Drosophila melanogaster: one gene and its partner. The main gene of each other region encodes a partner of the protein of the gene in region 2 in a complex. Each region holds a gene or a part of one and is shown on either strand. Other genes may lie near its edges. The genes, in order: EndoGI and EndoG. A codon is read from its position in the direction of its gene.

What was found.
Region 1: the proteins of EndoG (region 2) and EndoGI are in contact, whole or in part, in a crystal structure (PDB 3ISM), measured with the Drosophila melanogaster proteins. Residues at the interface, in NP_610737.1 of Drosophila melanogaster: Arg124 (codon at 1,216), Cys127 (codon at 1,207), Asp128 (codon at 1,204), Phe129 (codon at 1,201), Lys130 (codon at 1,198), Gln131 (codon at 1,195), Pro137 (codon at 1,177), Arg140 (codon at 1,168), Gln142 (codon at 1,162), Asn143 (codon at 1,159), Thr144 (codon at 1,156), Tyr146 (codon at 1,150), Arg147 (codon at 1,147), Arg148 (codon at 1,144), Asp152 (codon at 1,132), Arg153 (codon at 1,129), Phe173 (codon at 1,069), Gln184 (codon at 1,036), Asn187 (codon at 1,027), Arg188 (codon at 1,024), Asp189 (codon at 1,021), Asn192 (codon at 1,012), Ala196 (codon at 1,000), Arg199 (codon at 991), Ala235 (codon at 883), Asn271 (codon at 775); in NP_001260489.1 of Drosophila melanogaster: Gln45 (codon at 1,619), Val46 (codon at 1,616), Asp47 (codon at 1,613), Ile49 (codon at 1,607), Val50 (codon at 1,604), Asp52 (codon at 1,598), Lys56 (codon at 1,586), Glu94 (codon at 1,472), Gly97 (codon at 1,463), Asp98 (codon at 1,460), Phe101 (codon at 1,451), Tyr102 (codon at 1,448), Ser141 (codon at 1,331), Arg142 (codon at 1,328), Asp143 (codon at 1,325), Ser144 (codon at 1,322), Asp145 (codon at 1,319), Leu146 (codon at 1,316), Phe147 (codon at 1,313), Asp148 (codon at 1,310), Ser149 (codon at 1,307), Asp150 (codon at 1,304), Asp151 (codon at 1,301), Arg174 (codon at 1,232).

What each region holds. Positions count from the first base shown.
Region 1 is NT_033779.5:16,255,680-16,259,933, reverse strand, and holds EndoGI (endonuclease G inhibitor), read right to left. Parts: upstream 2,247-4,254; 5' UTR 2,169-2,246; intron 1,930-2,168; exon of another isoform or gene 1,898-1,929; 5' UTR 1,821-1,897; coding exon 1,755-1,820; intron 1,686-1,754; coding exon 672-1,685; 3' UTR 501-671; downstream 1-500.
Region 2 is NT_033778.4:12,176,889-12,180,391, forward strand, and holds EndoG (endonuclease G), read right to left. Parts: upstream 1,666-3,503; 5' UTR 1,586-1,665; coding exon 653-1,585; 3' UTR 542-652; downstream 1-541. Other genes in the region: CCT5 (chaperonin containing TCP1 subunit 5), read left to right, coding at 1-428; CG8860 (uncharacterized protein), read right to left, coding at 2,699-2,905.

The DNA of each region.
Region 1 (4,254 bases), on a different chromosome or scaffold from region 2:
GTCAGTGTATGTAATAGTTTCAAAATTAATTAAAGTTCATTTTTGTGTTCGGAATTTAAAAGTTAACTTAAGAAAGTATTTCATATTTTATTTTAGTATTTAAGCATAATAATCTAACCATTGGATTTAAGAACTTCAAAGGAAATTACGAAAATTGTCTATGTATGAATACAAACTATGCTGAAACTATTTATGTGGATTCCACCTACATCGGTCAACTTTTATTAAAAGTATCTAAAAACAATCATTTAATACACAATTTAAAAGTTTTAGGATGCATAATGCTTAATTAGAACAGGAGATGTAAGAATACTCATAAAATATTTCAAGAAAATTCGTGATACAAATTTTAAATCAAATGAAGAAAAATGTTCCTTAATTTATATGCTATTATAGTTTATATATATTACAAAATTTTAAATGCTTTAAGCTATTGAAGAAATATGAAGAGAACAAATAATTTGTTACTGATCGAGATAATAAAAAGGACCACTATTTTTGAGAACAGTTATAAAATACTTATCATTTTATTCATTTTTAAACAATTTCTAACATTTCGAAACATAATTCAGATATTGAAATGCTTTACTGTGTGTGCCTTCAGAGATTACGACCAGAATAGGTGTTTTAGTACATAAGGAAACAATCCTTCAGTCATGAAAGATGCACTACTAATCATCATTTACAGGTCCTTCAAAGGGAGCCTTGCAACCAGCCTTTTCGTAAAACTCGAATGGCAGCGGATCCTCGTTGTCGTAATAGTCGGAATCGCGGGCGCAACTGGGACCAAGTTCCATTTTCACCATCTTGTCGCGCCAAAAGTCGAGAAGCTCTTTGGTGAGAACCTCATCCCTCAGATTGAAAATCCAACTGTTGTAGTCGTCGGGCCCATAGAAACCAGCATCACCCTTGTACTCCTGCAGCAGCTCGGCGGCCTTGTTTTGATCCTCCGCTGAGGGTGTGCCATCGAAGAGCAGCTTCCAGATTATCTCCCTGGCGGCTGCCGCTATCTTCTTCACGCTGGCCTGGTGAACGCTGTCCGGAACGATGATTTTGGTCAGAACAAAGCGCTTCATTAGAGTTCGGTATTCCTCGAGCGGATTTTCCTTGGTCAGGGTGGCCTCAAATTCGCCAGACAGAGCGGCGGCATCATCGGCACTCAGTTCACCCGGAGTTGTAGGCGTCGCTGGCCCATCCTGATCCAGCGAAGCCTGCTCCTCGAGTGCTGCGCGCACCTTTAAGCTGGCTGCAAATGGAGCGGTACAACCGGCATGGGCATAGAACTCCAATGGCGGGGTGTCGTCGCTGTCAAAGAGATCACTGTCGCGTGACCAACAGGGACCGAGTTGCTTCTTCACCAGCACATCGCGCCAAAAGTCGAGGAGTTCCTTCTTTAGAACCTCATCCCTCAGCTTGACAATCCATTCGTTGTACGGCGTCGGGTCGTAGAAGCAGGCGTCACCACGGTATTCCTCCAGCAATTGGCTGGCCTTCTCTGTGTTCGATTGCGAGGTACCGGCCTCGTCGAATAACAGCCGCCAGATGACGTCACGCGCCGCTGCAGCCGTTCGATCGAAATTCTCCTTGGTGACATCATCATCCACGATTTCGTCTACCTGCACGCGTGTTTCGATAAGCTTTTGGTAATCCTTAACGGGATCCACCAGGCCAATGGTGTAATCGTTCTGTCCAGACAATAGTTGTTATTGTTTGTAAACTATTTTTGTTTATTTTCTATGGCTGTTGCTTATTACCTGTGCTACTTTCTCGGCCGTTGCCATTTTGTCGGATTGTGTGTCCTCGGCCTTGCGCTTGGACATTCCCCTCTGGATAAATTGGCGATTTAAGGTTCTTCGAAGTAAAGCGTTTAAAATCGTTGGGCTATTGATCGTCACTTCTGTCGGAAAGAGATAAGATGACTAATTCAGATCGCCGCTTGCTGTTGCGATACTACGAATGTAAATAGTAGGGTAGTTCTTTTCAATAGAGAATAATTTTAATTGGAATATTCTCGGAAGGACAGACCAAGAATCAAAATAAGACGACTTATTGGATGAATAAGAAAAGAAAGTATGTGACATATTGAAAATATTATATATTTTATGTCGGTTTATAAATAAATATATATGTATATATATTGTACAACTTCCTTTAAAATCACATCTTACATTTAAAATAAAAAAAACTGTTTTTAAAAGACAATTGCAAAATAGGTAATTAAATTATTACAAAAAAGTATCGATTCTGCCCGCAATCGATGTTTATCTAACACTTAATTGCACTCGATACTATCGGCTCTATCGAGTGTTCGAGATTATCGAATATAATCACCATCCGTGTCTACCAACACAAACGAGCGAATTGTTCGCAACGCCTACTTCGATTACAAGTACTTTGCTCTTGGAAATCGGTAGAAAAAATTGTGCAATCCGTGCTGGAAACTACAGATATTATTTTCGCCCGATTAATTCATGTCAAATTGATAGATTCATCTTATACCATTGGTTCCGCCCCGTGCTGACTGTGTTTGTGTGTGTGTGTGCGTGACAGACACAAAGAAATTTGAGGTTAAGCTGCAGATGAATTTTGCGTTAATGTCGCTGAAAAACCAAAGTTTAACAATCCTATTCAATAAAAAACACTTAAGCTAAAGATACAATCAATTTACAGTTGCAATAAGAGCAATAGTTGTGTCGTAAAAGGCAACACACACCAGCCAATTGCATTCGTGGAATTCGTGTCGGTGAGAGTCTCGCGGTGCGTCTGTGTGTGCGTGTGGACGTGAATTCAATTTTCTCGTGCACGAAAAGCAACGAAAAAGCTTCAAAAGTTATACTCAAATGTGTATGGCAATTGTGGTAAGTGCGGCAGGGGATCGGCTACAGCCGCAAGTTTTTAAATAATACATTTTTGTTGCATAAATTGTTTCGAACGTCAACGAACACTCGCACAACTACTGAGCCACAAAGTATGTGTGCTTGTGTGCGTGCGTTGGCATTTACATTCAATTTTTTTCGTTTAAACAATTTCTAACTGGATTTTGTTTGTTTTATTCGAAAAATAGTCTTAAAAAACATGTTGGCATTAGAAATAGTTTCTGGAATTTGTTTAAATTTTTTTTTAGTATATATCAACCAGTTACATTTTTATTTGTCTGTGCAAAAACTATAAACAATTGTCATCTTGTAAAACTAGAATATGTTATAAACTAATTGTGTTTACGTTTTTTATAAATATGAATGTGAACTTTTTAAATGTATTCTTCTCAAAATACCAACAAATCTGTGTAATTGCTATGAATAATATTCTTTTCTTCGCAATCAAATTAATCGAATTGCAAATTCTGCTGTGCTTGCATAAAAAACGTTAAGGAAAGTAATGTAATGTCCCATTTGTTATCATACACAACAATCATATACTTCAATAAATGGGTAACTTCACGCATTTTACTTTCATTCGACCCAGTTACCTGGTTAACTGCCTTCGCCAGTTGAAAATAAATGTCAGCTGACCCAGTTTTACCATCCGAACGGAACTAGGACGGGACCAAAACTATTTTGCACTGCACCAGTTAAAGTTTATTTCTCTTATTTTTTTTGGCAGTTTTTATCATCTTCATACGTCATTTGCTAGGTACATACACGTAGATTCTAATCTAATATCTAATCTGTTGAAGACATTTCGAGCAGATTTATATCATATCAAAGCGGCAGAGCAAACAGTAAACAAAAGACATGGCCGAGAGAAATTGTTTTTTTTAGAACAAAACAGCCAAATCAGTTGGCATTTTATACTGAACAAATGTGGACGGAGCAAAGTTGTAGTGCAAAAAGATTGCCTTCGTTCATAGCTTTCAATTTTACAATCAGTTGTTACTCAACAAGGTTTGGCTGTGATTTGCTGTTATCTCGAATTTTCGCATTTTTTCCACCTGTGTTTATCTTGATCGCACTGTTTGCTAATCGATATCAGCAAATTGCGTCAATTGGTATTGAAAGCGGTATAAGCGGTATAGAAATGGAACCTGGCAACTGAAACTGTCCCATACGCACCAAAGGAATATCAATTATACGCCAACCGGTGGTTGAAAATCCCAACGATATCCATTTTTTAACCGGTTCTCTTGTCAGATTTCTTGTGCTCTCTCCCTTTTATTTCCGTTTGGGGTCTCTTGTCCTTGAACAAGTTCAATGATAGTGCCCCGGCCACGGCAATACAAACAAAAGAAAGAAAAGAATCTCTTTCGGTTTCATT
Region 2 (3,503 bases):
GATCGATTCACGATGCCATCTGCGTGGTGCGTTCGCTTGTGAAGGACTCGCGTATTGTTTACGGTGGTGGAGCTGCCGAGATTAGCTGCTCGTTGGCTGTGGCCAAGGAGGCCGACCAACTGTCCACGCTGGAGCAGTACGCCTTCCGCGCCTTCTCCGTGGCCCTGGAGAGCATTCCGCTGGCTCTGGCGGAGAACAGCGGCCTGCATCCCATCGAGACGTTGTCGGAGCTGAAGGCCAGACAGGTGGCCGAGAAGAAGTCCAGCCTGGGTGTCGACTGCATGCTGTCGGGTGATTCGGACATGAAGAGCCATAACGTGGTGGAGTCGCTGCACTCGAAGAAGCAGCAGATTCTGCTCTCCACGCAGCTCGTCAAGATGATACTCAAGATCGACGACGTGCGCTCCAAGAACGAAGGCGGCATGTAACGACCGCCCAGCAGCAGCATCATACATCAGATCTAGTTTCAGATTCACATCCCCACGCTTCGCTATCTCTTCACGAACAACACCCGCGTCAAGCCTCATCTCTATGTACATCTGTATTAATTGTTTAATTTTATTAATCCACAAGTTCTTTGGAAAAGAAGAAAATTACATTAAACAAGGGGCTATCCCTGTTCAAATACACTAAAACGAAACTAAGACATCGACTAGACTTTCTTGCCATTGATGGTGGTTAGCTGCTTGCGATTGATTTGATCGAAGAAGAGCAATCCCGCCGAGCGTTCCACGCTCTCTGGCGGCACCTGAAACACACTGATGGGAGTGTCGTTGCTGATCACCTGATTGGGCATCACGTACGACTCCATGTGGAGTTTGTGGTCCGCGGACTCGCCCACAATAACCTTGTAGAAGTGGGTGGGAACAGCCACGGTGTTGGCGCCGATGACCTCGTACTTGACATACGATTTCCCATCGTCCTCCTTGTGCGGTAGGTACAGTGGACCCGTACAGACGTACACATTGGAGTAGGTCTTGGTCAGTCTGCGCACGTGTGCCTCCAGCGTGTTCCAGGCATCCCGGTTGAAGCCCTGGCCCACCTGTGGCGCCATGTTCGATAGGTAGAAGGTTTCGTCGCAGTGCTTCTGGTGCAGTCGGTGATTTCCAGCGGCGGCCATGTGCCCGCGATCATAGCCCGATCGTCGGTAGTCCGTGTTCTGTGACCTGAAGAACGGATGGATGCTCTCGTCCTGCTTGAAATCGCACTTCGATCTGTCCACGGCATCGTTCTTCGCCACCGACTCTGCCGTAAGGTGCTCGAACACCCAGTGGGGCACCCGGTTCCTCCGATCGTAAGACAGCACGTAGTCCGAATGGGAGCGCACGTGATCGAGTCCGGGAAATCCATACTTCATGATCTGTCCGATCCGAGACGGAGTTGCCGTCAAGCTTACATTGTTCTCTTGGGCGGGAATCAAACTGGCAGCCGAAACAGTTCCAAAGGTGGGCAGACCAGGCAGCCGCGGAAGGCCACTTGTGGAGCCATTGTGCTGGCGTTCGCGTTCCACGTGGGTGCCCAGATAAAAGGCGCCCAGGGCGGTGGCACCCAAAGCTAATACGCCACCCACTCGAGGAGCACTCATTTTGGCAGTTTTATTTAAAAATCTGGACAAAAAGACCAGATAGCGACCGCTATTGCACAATTCAGGTACTTTAGTGTGACCACAGTTTAAAGTGGTCGAACGAACTACAGTGAAAGACATAAATATATGCACGGATTGCTAAATTTGCTTGGGAAAATAAGTAAGTATACTATGTATATTTCATTAATGTATTAATAACTTAAAAAGGCGACGTGTGAGCTTTAACCGTAGCCCAAGTCGCAAATGGTGGTACTTACCAATTCCATATAGATAGATGGGCTTCGTGAACAGCAAGATATCCGAGCTCGAATAACTCGTCGTGGCAGTTCAAAATTCCAGGGCTGGATATCCCCTCGTCTTATGTGCTCTAATACACACTCGGCGTGTAGCAGGTTGTAAGAAATTCGCGTTTAAAATCAAATAACTTAGTGGGCGCTGCCATGTTTTAAAATTTATTCGATAACCGATCCCCGACTTAAAAGGAAAAGTGTGACCATCAATTTATAAAATTTAGCTTATATTTTGTAAAAAAATTGTTGCTTCTTTGTTTAGGAATTTTTAAGAAAAAGCAATTGTGTCGCAGAACAAAACGATGGCTAAAACAGTAATTTTAAAAAGGCATACAACACATATAAAATTATTTTTAAGGTTAAAGAAAGATTTTTATAACAGAATTAAAATCTTCTAATTTTAAAGCAATATTAGGCGAACCCAAATACATGCCATTGTACAATGTAGAATTTAATGTTAAATCATCTCTATGTTAAAATAACAAAATATAAACATTGTCAATTGGAAGAACGATTCAAAATAAGCAACTCGACCTAGATGAATGAAATAGTACAATACATGCCATTTTGTTGCTGAATGATAAGCTAAGATTTTGTTGAATTTTGGCTTAGTTGCATTCGGAAATATATTTACAACATTTTGAGCACACCCTCCAAGCACCCAATTTATAACCAGACTTTCTTATCTCAAACCCAAGCCAAAGATATTACATTGTATTGTGTGTATAAAATCCGAAGAAGGGGCATTTATTTCGCTAAAGATGCGCGTGGAATCGTGAACTACATGTAATCTCTTTCCGGTCCGGGGGCCACCTGCCGCTTTCTAGGATCCCACGATGATGTTGTTAATGGGAATGTGAATCAGCTTGACGAAGAAGCCGATGAAGCCCATGATGGCGAAGCCCACGGCGGTGGCGATGGCGATTTTCTGGAACTCCTTGCGGTCGGGTTTTGTGCAGCGCTTCACCAGGCGGATTGAGTCCTTGGCGAAGGCGCGTCCGGGTTCGGCGAATTTGACAACCTTGTCCATTTTTGATTTGTGAGTATTTAACTAAGAATTACCAATGAACTGAATTGATATTTATTTTGCTGCCGTGTCGCTTCTTGCAGTGTTACCAAGTTCCTCAGCTCAAAACATACTAAAAATTAACGCCTTTCCTTTAGTTGTTAATAAATTTTTTTTTTGGTTGAAATATAAGTGTATTTGAATTATTTTAATTTATTTTGAGTTTTTCTTTAAATTGAACCCATTCAATTATTACTTTGAAGCAAATCATTTAATGAACAGTTTTTAACAATTGATTTGGGCACACTACCCTACCCTAGCGTCGATGGAGGAACGGTGGATTTTTGAACATATGGACGTTTTCTATTTATTTATTTTTTCGTCATTTGGAAGTGAATTCCAAATTCCGTGCTCCGGAATGGCGTGCTTATAGGCTTACATTTGCCTAATTTAGTAATGATCCTGAATAAATGATCCCCTGATTAAAAAAGTTCTCCTAACAGTGGGATGAGTTTGAAAGGTATTTAAAAATGCCGCCTTCTCTAGTAGAAGTACTACAGCCGATCCGTGTCCTTAACTGCTTTATTAACAGTAATAGTTTTGGGAGACACCGCAGTTTATC